Regions from separate parts of the Mus musculus genome. Here all the other regions are reported to be linked to region 3. Evidence: microRNA targets listed by miRTarBase, many of them from high-throughput screens and not tested one by one. Region 3 holds a microRNA gene; each other region holds the end of a gene's coding sequence.

Evidence for each region. The annotated mature microRNA mmu-miR-466b-3p reads AUACAUACACGCACACAUAAGA and lies in region 3 at 1,730-1,751, shown strand. An mRNA with a match to its seed (bases 2 to 7 or 8) in the 3' UTR can be bound and repressed. Matches are read on the target gene's strand: a 7mer-m8 pairs with bases 2 to 8, a 7mer-A1 pairs with bases 2 to 7 and ends in A, and an 8mer does both.
Region 1: miRTarBase lists Zfp462 as a target of mmu-miR-466b-3p. Seed matches in the 3' UTR shown: 8mer at 2,372-2,379 and 7mer-m8 at 1,507-1,513.
Region 2: the mRNA of Bpifc is a reported target of mmu-miR-466b-3p. Seed matches in the 3' UTR shown: 7mer-m8 at 928-934.
Region 4: the mRNA of Slc25a46 is a reported target of mmu-miR-466b-3p. Seed matches in the 3' UTR shown: 8mer at 1,817-1,824.

What each region holds. Positions count from the first base shown.
Region 1 is chr4:55,080,421-55,083,420 of GRCm38, reverse strand. Zfp462 (zinc finger protein 462) reads right to left here. Exons shown (of 13, transcript NM_172867.3): 13 at 1-2,755. The coding sequence ends at 2,548. Among named protein-coding and RNA genes, the nearest start is that of Gm42289, 13 kb to the right of the region's middle.
Region 2 is chr10:85,957,754-85,960,856 of GRCm38, reverse strand. Bpifc (BPI fold containing family C) reads left to right here. Exons shown (of 16, transcript NM_177772.4): 16 at 316-1,166. The coding sequence ends at 438. Rtcb (RNA 2',3'-cyclic phosphate and 5'-OH ligase) reads left to right here and starts at 3,064. Exons shown (of 12, transcript NM_145422.4): 1 at 3,064-3,103.
Region 3 is chr2:10,506,239-10,509,347 of GRCm38, forward strand. It overlaps Mir466 (microRNA 466), which reads left to right and starts at 1,680; the gene lies at 1,680-1,752. The region is part of intron 10 of Sfmbt2 (Scm-like with four mbt domains 2); the gene reads left to right. It overlaps Mir467d (microRNA 467d), which reads left to right and starts at 1,392; the gene lies at 1,392-1,476. It overlaps Mir297c (microRNA 297c), which reads left to right and starts at 2,778; the gene lies at 2,778-2,875. It also overlaps Mir669c.
Region 4 is chr18:31,580,326-31,583,434 of GRCm38, forward strand. It overlaps Slc25a46 (solute carrier family 25, member 46), which reads right to left. Exons shown (of 8, transcript NM_026165.4): 8 at 1-3,109. The coding sequence ends at 2,866. Among named protein-coding and RNA genes, the nearest start is that of Gm38606, 11 kb to the left of the region's middle.

The DNA.
Region 1 (3,000 bases), not on the chromosome of region 3:
GGAGTCAGGATCCCCCTATCTTTCATCAAGTTTCAGGAAACACTGATTATTGGAGTCAATAGGTTATCATTTTGCTATTTATTTTCTTCTCTCAAGCTCTGGAAAAAAAAATGTCCTCTGTATAAATTAAACAACAACAACAAAAAATTTTGTAAATTCTATGTCATTACAGTCAACAGAAAACAGAATGCGTCCAAAATGTGCGGCCACAAAATATCAGGTATATGTTTGAAAAATAAAACAAAAAAATGACATCCTAGCCTTGTTAAAAGGATAATGGTCCCATATTTTTATTATCAGGTTAGCAAAACAAAATCCAATGGATTACAATATTTACATGTTATTTGAAAAATAAAGTAGTGATAGAAGCATGTCACAATTATTTTCTCTTTTCCTTTCGTTGTTTTGTTTGTTTTTGGTAACCATCACAGACATCCAGTCCAGGTATGAAACTGTTTAGTACATTTGAAATGAGGCCAATCAAAAGCGAGTAAGGACACAGAAGAATCTGTCTAGATATTTCACACTTCCCCCTGTTCTGGTTTCCACATGACGGCCCCATCCCTAAAAACAAAATTAAATTAAACATCCTACAAATAAAAATTCTTAATAGCAAAAACTAAAAATCAAAAATAAAAACAAAAATAAAAAATAAAAACAAAGCAAAACCAAGATCATGCTTTTCAAGTACGTACTTACTTCACAAATGCGATATCTTTCCATGGATTTTCTCTGAAGCTGTGTGGGACACTGACACCTCAGTTTACCCTCTTTCCCTTCTGGCCCGCCCCCCACCCCATCAACCCTTCCAAGTTAAAAAAAACAAACAAACAAAAACCCAAACAAGGACAACAAAAGAAACAAAACCTAGGACTCATATTTGCCCACACACATACATCCAAACACCAGCACACGTATGTGCGCACGCGCACACACCCACCCACCCACACACACACGCCCCTAAGCTTCAAGAATGTTCCTTTCCACTTTTTGGAACAAAACCCCATTTTCACAATCATAATGTGCTATAAATGTAGACTTGCTTTCAGTCTAAGCTGCTCTTGGAAAAAAATAAAATAAAATAAACGAAGCCACTGTGGGGAAACAGAGCAGCTAGATGCGCAGACAAAGCACTTTTCCAGGCTCCCTGCAGGATGCGGCATCTCCTGTCCAAGCTCACGGAAGGGATGGCTCCCCAAAGAAATGAGACAGCCTCACAATACACAAAGCAAACAAAACAGAGTTCACAGCACACACGAAGGCCAGCCCAATGTAACAGAAATCGTTGGGGAGACGAAATGTGTTGCTTTGAGAAAAAAAAAAAACAAACAAACCCAAAAGGGTGACGGGACCTCCTTGTCTGGCCCCCCCCACTGCATAGCTGTGCTCGGAGTTTGGTTCTTTAGTTAAATTAAAAAGCAAACAAACACAAAAACAAATTTAAAAGGAAGTTAACCTCTTTGTTATGTTCATGTTTAAAATTATAAAAATTCACACACACACACATACATACACACACACACCCTACACCCTCTAACTCTCCCTTGACCTCAAATTAAACAAACACACAGAGAACAACTCATATGAAGAAAGAACAACTGAATTTGTGCTGTGTTTGTAACACTCAAATCGAGAAAAAAATAAACATGTGGCCAACGAAATCCCACGATCACCATAAAATTAGTTCACATGAACCTACCAAATTCTAAATTATAGCTGAACACTAATAAACAGCTTACCTGGAATACAAGATGACAATTCACACACAGTTATCTAGTAATTAAAGTCTGTTTCTTTTTTTTTTGTTTTGTTTTTTACTAAAATAATTAAAAAAATCACAGTATTTTAAGAAATAAAACCCACGTGGGGATTTTAAGCACAATTTGTGTTCCTTTCTTTAAAACTCTTTTTTTTTCTCCATTCACCATCCTGTCCAGCAGTTCTCTCTACATTTAACCACAAGGGCCACAGGTAGTACAGACAAATGCAGAGAATTCCCTTGGTTAAGTCTGAGGTACTAGGAAACAGGTGACTGTTTTATGCAAAGCAGTTTTTTTTTGTTTGTTTTCTGTTTTGTTATTTTTTTTTCTCCCAAAGCGGCTGCAGTTAGGTCTTGAAAAAGCTTAAGGTATTAAAACTAGAAAAACGCACAGAAAGTTGTGCGCCCAAAAGTTGTTCCCCTAGGAGAAGTCTTCTGTGTCCGGGAGCCTCGGTTTCCACACACTGTCCGAGAGGGTCACGGAGACCACCGTGCCCACGGGAGGTACTTCCCAAACCGCAGCAGATGAAAATCTCCGTGGTGAAGATCCGGAAGGAAGGATGTCGTGACAGGAAAGGAGCCACATATTCCAACCATTTAAATAACTTTAATTTACATACTCACTCACACAGGTACCAGTGCTTTGAAAATAGATTGTTCAGTCCTAAAAGCAGCTTTGTTCTGTCTTCTTCTCTCCTCTGTCTGTCCCCTCCCTTCTCAGCCCACGCCGGCCCGCCCACATTTTCATCACGGTTCAAGTAAGGTTTGATAAGAATTTCACCAAACTCTTATTCGTTTTTGGCCTCTGCATCCTCCAGGAGAGATTTGTCGGCAGCCACTACACAGATGGTTACTGTTTCGCTCTTTAAGGGAAAGTCTATCCCAATTGGCTCATCGTCTTCCTTGGCCTCTATGGAGGGCAGCTGCATACTCTCCTCCACCATCTCCTTTGTATGGATTTCGTTCCTGCTCACTTGGTTGGTATCATGCAATGACCTGGAAAAGCAAACCAGCAGACATGCTGATAAGCCAGGTGTGGTGGCACAAGGCTCTCATTCCCGCAATTAAGTGGTGGAGGCGGGAGGCTCAGGAGTGGTGAGCATGCGCTCCTGTAGGCCCAGCCTAAGTTCAGACATCGTCATCTTTTCTGTGTGTGATTTCAGACAGAGTATCTCAGGACATTCCAAACACGCTAGGCTAGCGTCCCTACTAAGCACAACTCTCTCTGCCTCCCCAGAGCT
Region 2 (3,103 bases), not on the chromosome of region 3:
GCTGCCTCTTCTCTGTGTTTTGTTTTTTTGTAGTTTGGGAAAGTAGAAATATATTTCTACTTTCAGAAAGCATCTCCCACCTGCACACTAGTGGACACTTCCTCATAGCTCCCAGACTCCCTCTTTTTCACTCCCCACTACCAATGTCATATCTAGGGACAGTAATCCAGAATGGCCACTTCTTGCATCAGTGGCCCTCACATAGGGATTGAGAAAAGTTTGATGCTTTCAGGCCTGGCAAAGAAACTTTCCTCTCTCATGCAAACCCAGATATGGCCTTAATTTAAAATTGTCTTTATTCTGCCTTCCTCTCAGGGTTACCTTCTGGTTTCTAGTGACCTGGCATATGACACATCCTCAAAGCCACAGCCAAATCTGAACAGCTGGGGGGATCTGAACCTAGTACATAGACCATGGAGAGAACAGCCAACCCATTGATGGCCCGCTCACAATACACCCCAGGAAGTAAACAGCCTTCAGTCCCCCAGAAACCAGAAACCTGGAAGATGAAGACCGTGCATCCTGGATATTAAAGCCCTTGTGGAAAAGGTCTCCTTCTGGAGCCCTGAGAGACCTAGAGTAAGGTCGACAGTTAAAATGATGAACAGGAACAAGGTAGTGGGAGTGGGGTCTGTGTATGTGAGCATGTGTAAGCACATTGTGTGCCTGTGTTTAGCCTTTGTGGGAAAGAGTAAGGCATGTGGATCCGACCAGGTGGTAAGGTTGTAAGGAACTTGTCTGTATTTGCATTGGTAGGTGTGTGTGTGTGTGTGTATGTGTGTCTGTGTGTGCCTCTGTGTGTGGTGTGTATCTGTGTGTGTGTGTGTCTGTGTCTGTGTGTGTGTCTGTGTGTCTGTGTGTGTCTCTGTGTCTGTGTTTGTGTCTGTGTCTGTGTGTGTGCCTCTGTGTCTGTGTGCCTCTGTGTGTGTATGTATGTGTGTGTGTGTGTGTGTGCCTCTGTGTGTGTGTCTGTGTGTATCTGTGTGTGTGTGTGTGTGTAAGACTATGTCTGCTCTTTAGAGACTTTCTACTTTTATTGGACTTTATGTTTTATGTTTACTATTACTGTCCTGTGCTTAATTAAAATTGTTTTCTAACGATGTCAGAATCTATGTGTGAAAGCTCCTGTCCTGAATTTATTTTAATAAAATATGACAGAAAAATGGAAAAGACTTAATTTTTTTAAAACTTCGGCAAAGACTGAAGTTCTACAAACACCAATACTAAAAGGGAGCCGAGAGCCCCTTAAATCTTTCCTATGGTTGTCCTGTGTCATTTGTTTATGTTTGTGGATGTGTCCTTTCAGTGATTGGATGAAATGAGGGCTGGAGAGATGGCTCAGCAGTTTAGAACATTGACTGCTCTTCCAGAGGTCCTGAGTTCAATAACCAGCCACCACACGGTAGCTCACAACCATCTGTAATGGGATCTGAGGCCCTCTTCTGGTGTGTCTGAGGACAGCTACAGTGTACTCACATAAATAAAATAAATAAATCTTTTTTTAAAAAGATTGACTGAAATGGTAGTGCAGCTTATTAAACCTAGGCAGTTCACAGTTGACATTAGTGTCATTAATCAGCAGGGTGAGACTGGACAGGGGAGCAGGAGAGTGGGACAGCCAGGGTGGATATGTAAAAATGAACAGAAACCACACCCTTTGCTTAACTCCTTAGGTTACTGGGGGATAGAAGAGGGCTGTATAAGTACTTAACATCCTGGTCTAGTTACTCCTCCAGTTTCATGTCTGTGACCTTCAGAGCCACTATGAATAATTATGATCCCATTTCATAGAAGTGAAAACAGAGGAATGTATCACACAAAGGTGGTAATGGCATAGGCGGAACCTGAACCCAAGTCTTCCTGATTGCTATGGTGGTGTTTTTCACAGGGTAGGACTATCCTGCAAATCACTGCCAGCTTTCTTATCCCAAGAGCAAGAGTCAATTAAGTTTAAAGGTACAGACACAGGACACAGTCCAAACAAAGCTATGGAACACAGTGATCCCTGAAAGAGGGATTTATCCATCTTTGTAGGGAATTGCTGGCCAGAGCAGATTTCCTTCACAAGCATTTGTAGAAATAAATGATACAGTGTTGTGATATGCTTCTTTTGGATGCTCATTTTGTAATGGAGTGTTTGTTGTACATCTTCAATCTCATTCTGATACATTGCAAACGTCATTAGTATTTTATCTTGCTCAGCTGTTTCACTAATGTTCATGGGGCATGAACTCCAAACTGTATGTTCTATATAGCAGTTGACCTGATCCAGGGTGAAGAGGTTTCAGGAGCAGCTCAAAAACATTCTTAAAGCAGTATGTCTTCAATAGCAGCAGTCAGGAGACATTGGCAAGGGTATCTGTGAGAGTTCGAAGCCAACCCGGATACATAGGCTCACCAAGGCTAAGTATCGAGATCTTACTTTAAAAAAGGGGGGGGGGTGAAGGGAGGGAGGGAGAGAGAAAGGGGGAGGGGGGAAGAAAGGAAAAAGAGAGAGAAAGAAAGAAAGAAAGAAAGAAAGAAAGAAAGAGGGGAAGAAAGAAAGATAGAGGGAAAGAAAGAAAGAGGGGAAGAAAGAAAGAGGGGGAGAAAGAAAGAAAGAAAGAAAGAAAGAGGGAAAGAAAGAAAGAGGAAAAGAAAGAAAAGGAAAGAAAGAAAGAAAAAAGGAAGGAAGGAAGGAAGAAAGACAGACAGACAGACAGACAGAAAGAAAGAAAGAAAGAAAGAAAGAAAGAGGGAAAGAAAGAAAGAGGGGAAGAAAGAAAGAAAGAAAGAAAGAAAGAAAGAGGAAAAGAAAGGAAGAAGGAAAGAAAGGAAGGAAAGGAAGGAAGGAAGAAAGAAGAAAGAAAGAAAGAAAGAAAGAAAGAAAGGAAGAAAGGAAGGAAGAGAGAGAGAGAGAAAGAAAGAAAGAGGGAGAGAAAGAAAGAGGGGGGGGAAGTGCAAGTGAAGACTAGCGCTGTAATTCATTGTAACGAGATGATCAGGACTCGCGCGAAGAGTTTTGAGCCTCGGCGCTTGCCATCTTCCCTCCTGGAGCGGAGCTGGTCGCGCCTGCGCCCTGAGAGGCGGCGCTGCGTGGAGCGGGTGGACTGCGGGGTGGTTT
Region 3 (3,109 bases):
TTATTTCATGATGACTTAGAGATCTGCCTGGGAATCATGTGATGCCCCCATGTATGTGTATATGTGTGTAACTGTGTGTGGATTTGTGTACATGAATATACATACCTACACACACGTAGACCCATACACAGACACACATATGAATGCCACTCCTCAGTCCATTTGAATGATATGTGACTTAGAGTTTTAAGATTCCTCAGTACTGAATAGGGAGAGGTCTCACTCAGCAGGTGAAATCCCTTGCCAGAGTCAGGTGGATCAGGAGTTCAAATTTGTGCTGAATTTCATGATGAGTTGGAAATCAGCACGGGATTCATGTGATGCCCACCAAGAATGTGCATGTGTGTATAGTTGTGTGCATATTCATTTCTCTATATGAATATGCATATGCACACATGCACACACATTCATAGGAATGGCCAGAGTTATTTCTTAGGTAGGAGGTGAATAATCTTGCTAGAGTCAGGAGAATATGGTGTTCAAGTTTATGTTTAACTTCATGATGCATTAGAGATCAGCATGTGTTTCATTGATGCACACCAAAATGTGCATGTGTGTGTAGTTGTGTGCATATTCACTTCTCTATGTGAATATGCATATACACACATGCAGACACAGGAATGGCACTCATATATCCTTTGGAATGGTATGTGACTCAGAGCTTTAGAGCTTATGCAGTGCTGGGCCAGAGCTATGTCTCAGTTAGGAGGTGGATGCTCTTGCCAGCGTCAGGAGGTCCCAGAGTTCAAATTCATGTTTAACTTCCTGATGAGTTACAGATCAGCCTGTTATTCATGTGATTGTTTCTGTGTATGTGTATAGATAAGTTTGTCTGTACATGCGGATATATGAAAAGACATATATTGACACATATTCACACATGCATGCATACAGAAACACATGGCAGTCATCCATAAGTTTTATATGTGCTTAGAATTTCATAGAGTGTATATTTATGGTACAGTGAAATATCTCGCCAACTAGATGAAAACCGCTTGCCAGAATCAGAAGTCTTGGAGTTCAGAATCATGCTTAACTTAATGATCAGTTAGTGATCATCCTGGATTCGTGTGATGGACCCTAGGTATGTACATGCACACATAATTTTGTGTGCATGTACATGTGTGTATATGATTATACATAACACACACACACACACACACACGTATAAAAGCAAGCACACACACACCAAGGTATGGCATTCATCGATCCATTTGAATGATATATGTCTTAGAATGTTACTGATTATGCAGTAGAAGGACAGTGAATGGTCTCACTCACAAGGTGTAAACAATTGGCATTGTCAGGAGGATCAGGAGTTCAATTTCATGCTTAACTTCATGAGCAGTTAGAGATCATCCTGGAATAATGTGATGGCCCCTATGTATGTGCCTGTGTGCATAAGTGCGCGCATGTATATGCGTGTATATTTTATGCATATACATACACACACCTACACACACATGCACACAGACATGCGGGAATGGCCCTCACGGATCCATTTGAATGATATGTGACCTACTGCTTTGGAGGTTATGTATGACTGGGCCAGGGTGAGGTCTCACAAACCACGGGAAAACCCTTGGTAGAGTCGGGAAGATCAGGAGTGCAAGTTCATGGTAAAGGCATGATGAGTTAGAGGTCATCCTGGCATTCATGTGATTGCCCCTATGTATGTGTATATGTGTTTATGTGTGTGTACATGTACATATGTGAATATGATATCCATATACATACACGCACACATAAGACACATATGAGCACACAGGCACACAGGAATGGCACTCACTCATTGATCTATGTGACTGTGAGCTTTGGAGATTATGTGTGACTAGGTCAGGGAGAGTTATCACCCATCATGTTAAAAATGCTTGTTAGAATCAGGAGGTCAGGAGTTCAAATTCATGCTTTATTTCATGATGACTTAGAGATCTGCCTGGGAATCATGTGATGTCCCCATGTATGTGTATATGTGTGTAACTGTGTGTGGATTGTGTATATGAATATACATACCTACACACACATAGACCCATCCACAGACACAGACACACACACGCATGCCACTCCTCAGTCCATTTGAATGATATGTGACTTAGAGTTTTAGAGATTCTGCAGTACTCAATAGGGAGAGGTCTCACACCACAGAGTCAGGTGGATCAAGAGTTCAAATTCATGTTTAACTTCATGATGAGTTAGAGATCAGCATGCTATTCATGTGATGACCATAAAGAATGTGCATGTGTGTATAGCTTTGTGCACATACACTTCTCTATATGAATATGCATATACACGCATGCACACACACTCACTCACAGGAATGGCCAGAGCTATGTCTCAGTTAACTTACCAGGTAAAACGCTTGCCTTTTGGATCAGCAGTTCAAATTCCTGAATAACTTCAAAATGACCTAGGGATCAGCCTGGCCTCATGGCATCCTCCCCCCATATATGTGCATGTGTGTATAGTTTTGTGTATATGTACATGTGTGTATACAAATATACATCTACATACAGACAAACATAAACACACAGGCACGCACACACACACACACACACACGCGCACACACACAGAGGAATGTCACTCATTGATCCTTTTGAATGACAGGTGACTCAGAGCTTTAGAGATTATGCAGGGCTGGGCCAGTGAGTGCTCTCACTCACAAGGTGAAAATGCTTGCTTGCCAGACTTTGGATGACCAGGAATCAAAATTCATGCTGAACTTCATGATGAGTTCGTGATCAGCTTCGGAGTCTTGTGATGACCCTAGTATATATGCCTGTGTGTATATGTATGTGTGCATGTACATGTGTGTATATGAATATACATATACATACACACATACCCATACAAACATGCATACAAACACACAAAAATTGGCACTCATCCATCTATTTGAATAATTAGTGACTTAGAGTCTTAGAGATTCTGTATGACTGGGGCTGACAGAGAGAGGTCTCAGTCACCAGGAGAAGACTTGCTAGATTCAGGGTGATCAGGAGTGCACATTCATGTTAACGGCATGATGAGTTAGAGATCAGCCTGGCATTCATGTGATGCCTCCATGTATGTGCATGTGTGTATAGTTGTGTGTGGATGTGTGTATTTGCA
Region 4 (3,109 bases), not on the chromosome of region 3:
TGTTACTCTGCTATACAAACTAGTACTCTATTAATAAAAATAAGATGGTACCTATTCAGGGGCAGGGAAGTGATATGTATTATGCCAAATACTTGAAGAGAACGCAGAAATGCCAGCAGTAAGTAGTACTCTAACTTCAGTGTGATGTGAACCCTTAAATAAGTTTTCTAAGTCACTTAACCTAGGTGTGTCCTTGTAACATCTCGCCAGCAAAACACACTCGGACAACCGGGTCCTTCTACGGCAAAGCTTTTTATTGCTTACTTCTCAGGAAGACCCTGAACCCGGAAAATGGAGCTGCTTAAATACCCCTCCGTGTGACGCGTCAGCTCCTGATTAGCTGCTCACTCATCACCCCACTGCTACACCCCGAGATGGGCAGTGACTTGGCACGAATTTACTCCAGCACCCGTGCACATTGCTTGTTTACTAGTTAGGCACTGCAGAAGCCAGCGCCATCTTGTAATGGCGATTGTTCACGGCTCTCCACATAGGTAGTTTTTGCAGGAGCTGGAAATGTCTTTTCTGTTCTACAGCATCCACACCCACATAGACAGCACACATCCTCCATGACCTCGACCAACAACAGTACAGCTGTCAAGGCAGCGTCTTCTGCTTCTCAGATTATGAGATTCTCGAATAAAAGCACTGTAGCGTTTTTTTGCACAATCAGCGAGTGAGTGCTTTGTTGCATTCTACTTAACAGAATCACATCTACGGGGCTATTTGTCATACTGAGTGTAAAAGGTATCAATTCACTGAGAAACACTGGCCAACTAAAATGTGTTTGACTTTCAAAGGTTACATTTTAACAAATTTAAAAAAAAAAGCAGTTAGAAAAAAAAACTCTCTCCATCTTTATTTTAAGGTAATTTGCGTGGATTTCTGCAAGGAAACAGGAAATGAGACTAATCATGTATTTAGTTCAGCAGCAGCATTTTGACTTCAGATGCAATAAATTTATATTACTAAATTCATGGTATCTGTCAATAAATAATCCTTGAATATCTAATCTTCAGGCACATGGAAAATTCCACAAAATTTACCCAGTAAATATTTGATTCCATTTAGACTGTTCTAAACATTTTCTGAAACCAAAATTTTCTGGTTTCTTCTCTGAAACTACCTTGACTTACAAAATGAAATTCTGAGGAAGGTGACTATAAACACCTAAAAATTTAGCAGCTAAAAGTCAGTAAAAAATGTTAACCCCATTTTTACACAGAGAAAAACACGTTAAGAGATTAACCATAAAATACAGAATGTGATCAACAGCATTTATTTTCCCTTTTGAGGAACTGAAGAGTTGACAGCATTACTCCAAAGACACAGACTGGTAGGGACAGCTGCTACTGACACCTTACTTCATGCTTTTCCACGACCATATTAAGCTTCCACTCTGATCAGTCACAGTCCAAACACCCTCTGCAACATTTAACATGTAACATCAGTGTTAGTTTGCATGCATTCTAGGTTGGGCAACACCTGCAGGCACTGCACTTCAGTGTTTGTAAACTTGAGCATAGCCATGAAGAAATAAAATGCTAACTGCTGCATGAGTGACCAGTGAACTATACATCACTTTATTACAGAGTCTAATCCACCATGGGAACACATCAACTTCATTTTATTAAGCTGATTAACAAGTTTCATTTGTTGAAATATAGTGTCTCCTCCTCCTCCTTCGTAACACATAAGGGCAAATTTCCTATGAGGTTTGTACTTTAATTCAGTACTTATCCAAGCAAGTTTAAATAAAGAGTACCAAGAATGTCTCATTTTTATCTTCAGGGTAGCTTATTTGGAGAATAAAACTTTACATACACACACACACACACACACACACACACACACACACACGCACACATACAAAAAAAGGAAAGAAAAAAGAAAGATTGCAGTGATTATTTATGGTGAGCAAGAGGCACAAATCCCCAGAACTTTCATTTTGTTCCCTCTCAGATAAGTTCTTTGAGAAATGAAAGACAGGTGGGGCTCCTTAACGTAAGTGTGGAAACGGTCATGGCTGCCATGATTGTTAGGCTCTTTAAAAGTAGCTAAAATCATCTGATGATCCAAACATCACAAGCAAAGGACAAATTTCAAGTTTCTGACACTGCAATGCTGGACAGGATGCAGGTAAAAAAGCTATTTTCTGGCATTTTGATGTCTTATACTTGATGTTCCAGCAGAAAGTGTCTACCTTCATTTGATGCAATAAGCTGGTCTATGAAAACTGGCAGGGAAGAAGGAAATTCCAAGTTACATGTACACACAGACACAAATGGCTCCATATAATAAATATATACAGCAATTAAAATGGTTAAATACAATTTAAACCCTTCAGCCACTGCTTACACAGTGCCAAAGCTAATCACCAGTTCTTTTCAACGGTGACATACTCTATTTGCTTAAAGGTAAAATCCCAGCACTATCCACTGCTTTAATAATTAACACAGTGACCTGAATCCAAGTTAAACAAACATAACAAATAGTAAGGTCAGTAAAACAGATTCAAGTCATTGCAATTTCATTTTATACTTGATACATTTTTTGTTTCTCCCCAGGATCAATTTTACTTCAGCATGAGTGTTATACTAAAATGTAACTTTACATTTTAAATTTAAAGTATTACCTTTATTGAGTTTTCAATTTTGGAAAGGTTTGACCCAGTATTATATATCTATATATCTATATATCTATGCCTTAAGAAAAATAAAAAGTCAGAATAATTAGCATGAGGTTTTCCACCAGTGGTAATTCCCAGCCTATTTCTTTCCGCGCAGTATTTTTACTTTTATTACTTGAAATGTCATAGCAAATTATCCAACATCTTTTGGTTCAGCCAATCATAGAACCTAAATCTCAAATGCTATTCTGAAGAAGTGTGGAGTAAATCATTTTGGTAATCTGTAAGATGGTTGCATGCAGTGTATACTGTATTATAACAGCACCAAACCCTTTATAGAAACCAAACACTCCTTCCTCCTGCTTTATGGTATTTATACAGTCTCTCATTCCCTCATACTGCGTATTAATTGGAAGTACTTCGTAGCCAAGGTCTGTGTTGTCAATAATTGTGCGTGTTCCTTGAATATGAAGACGATGC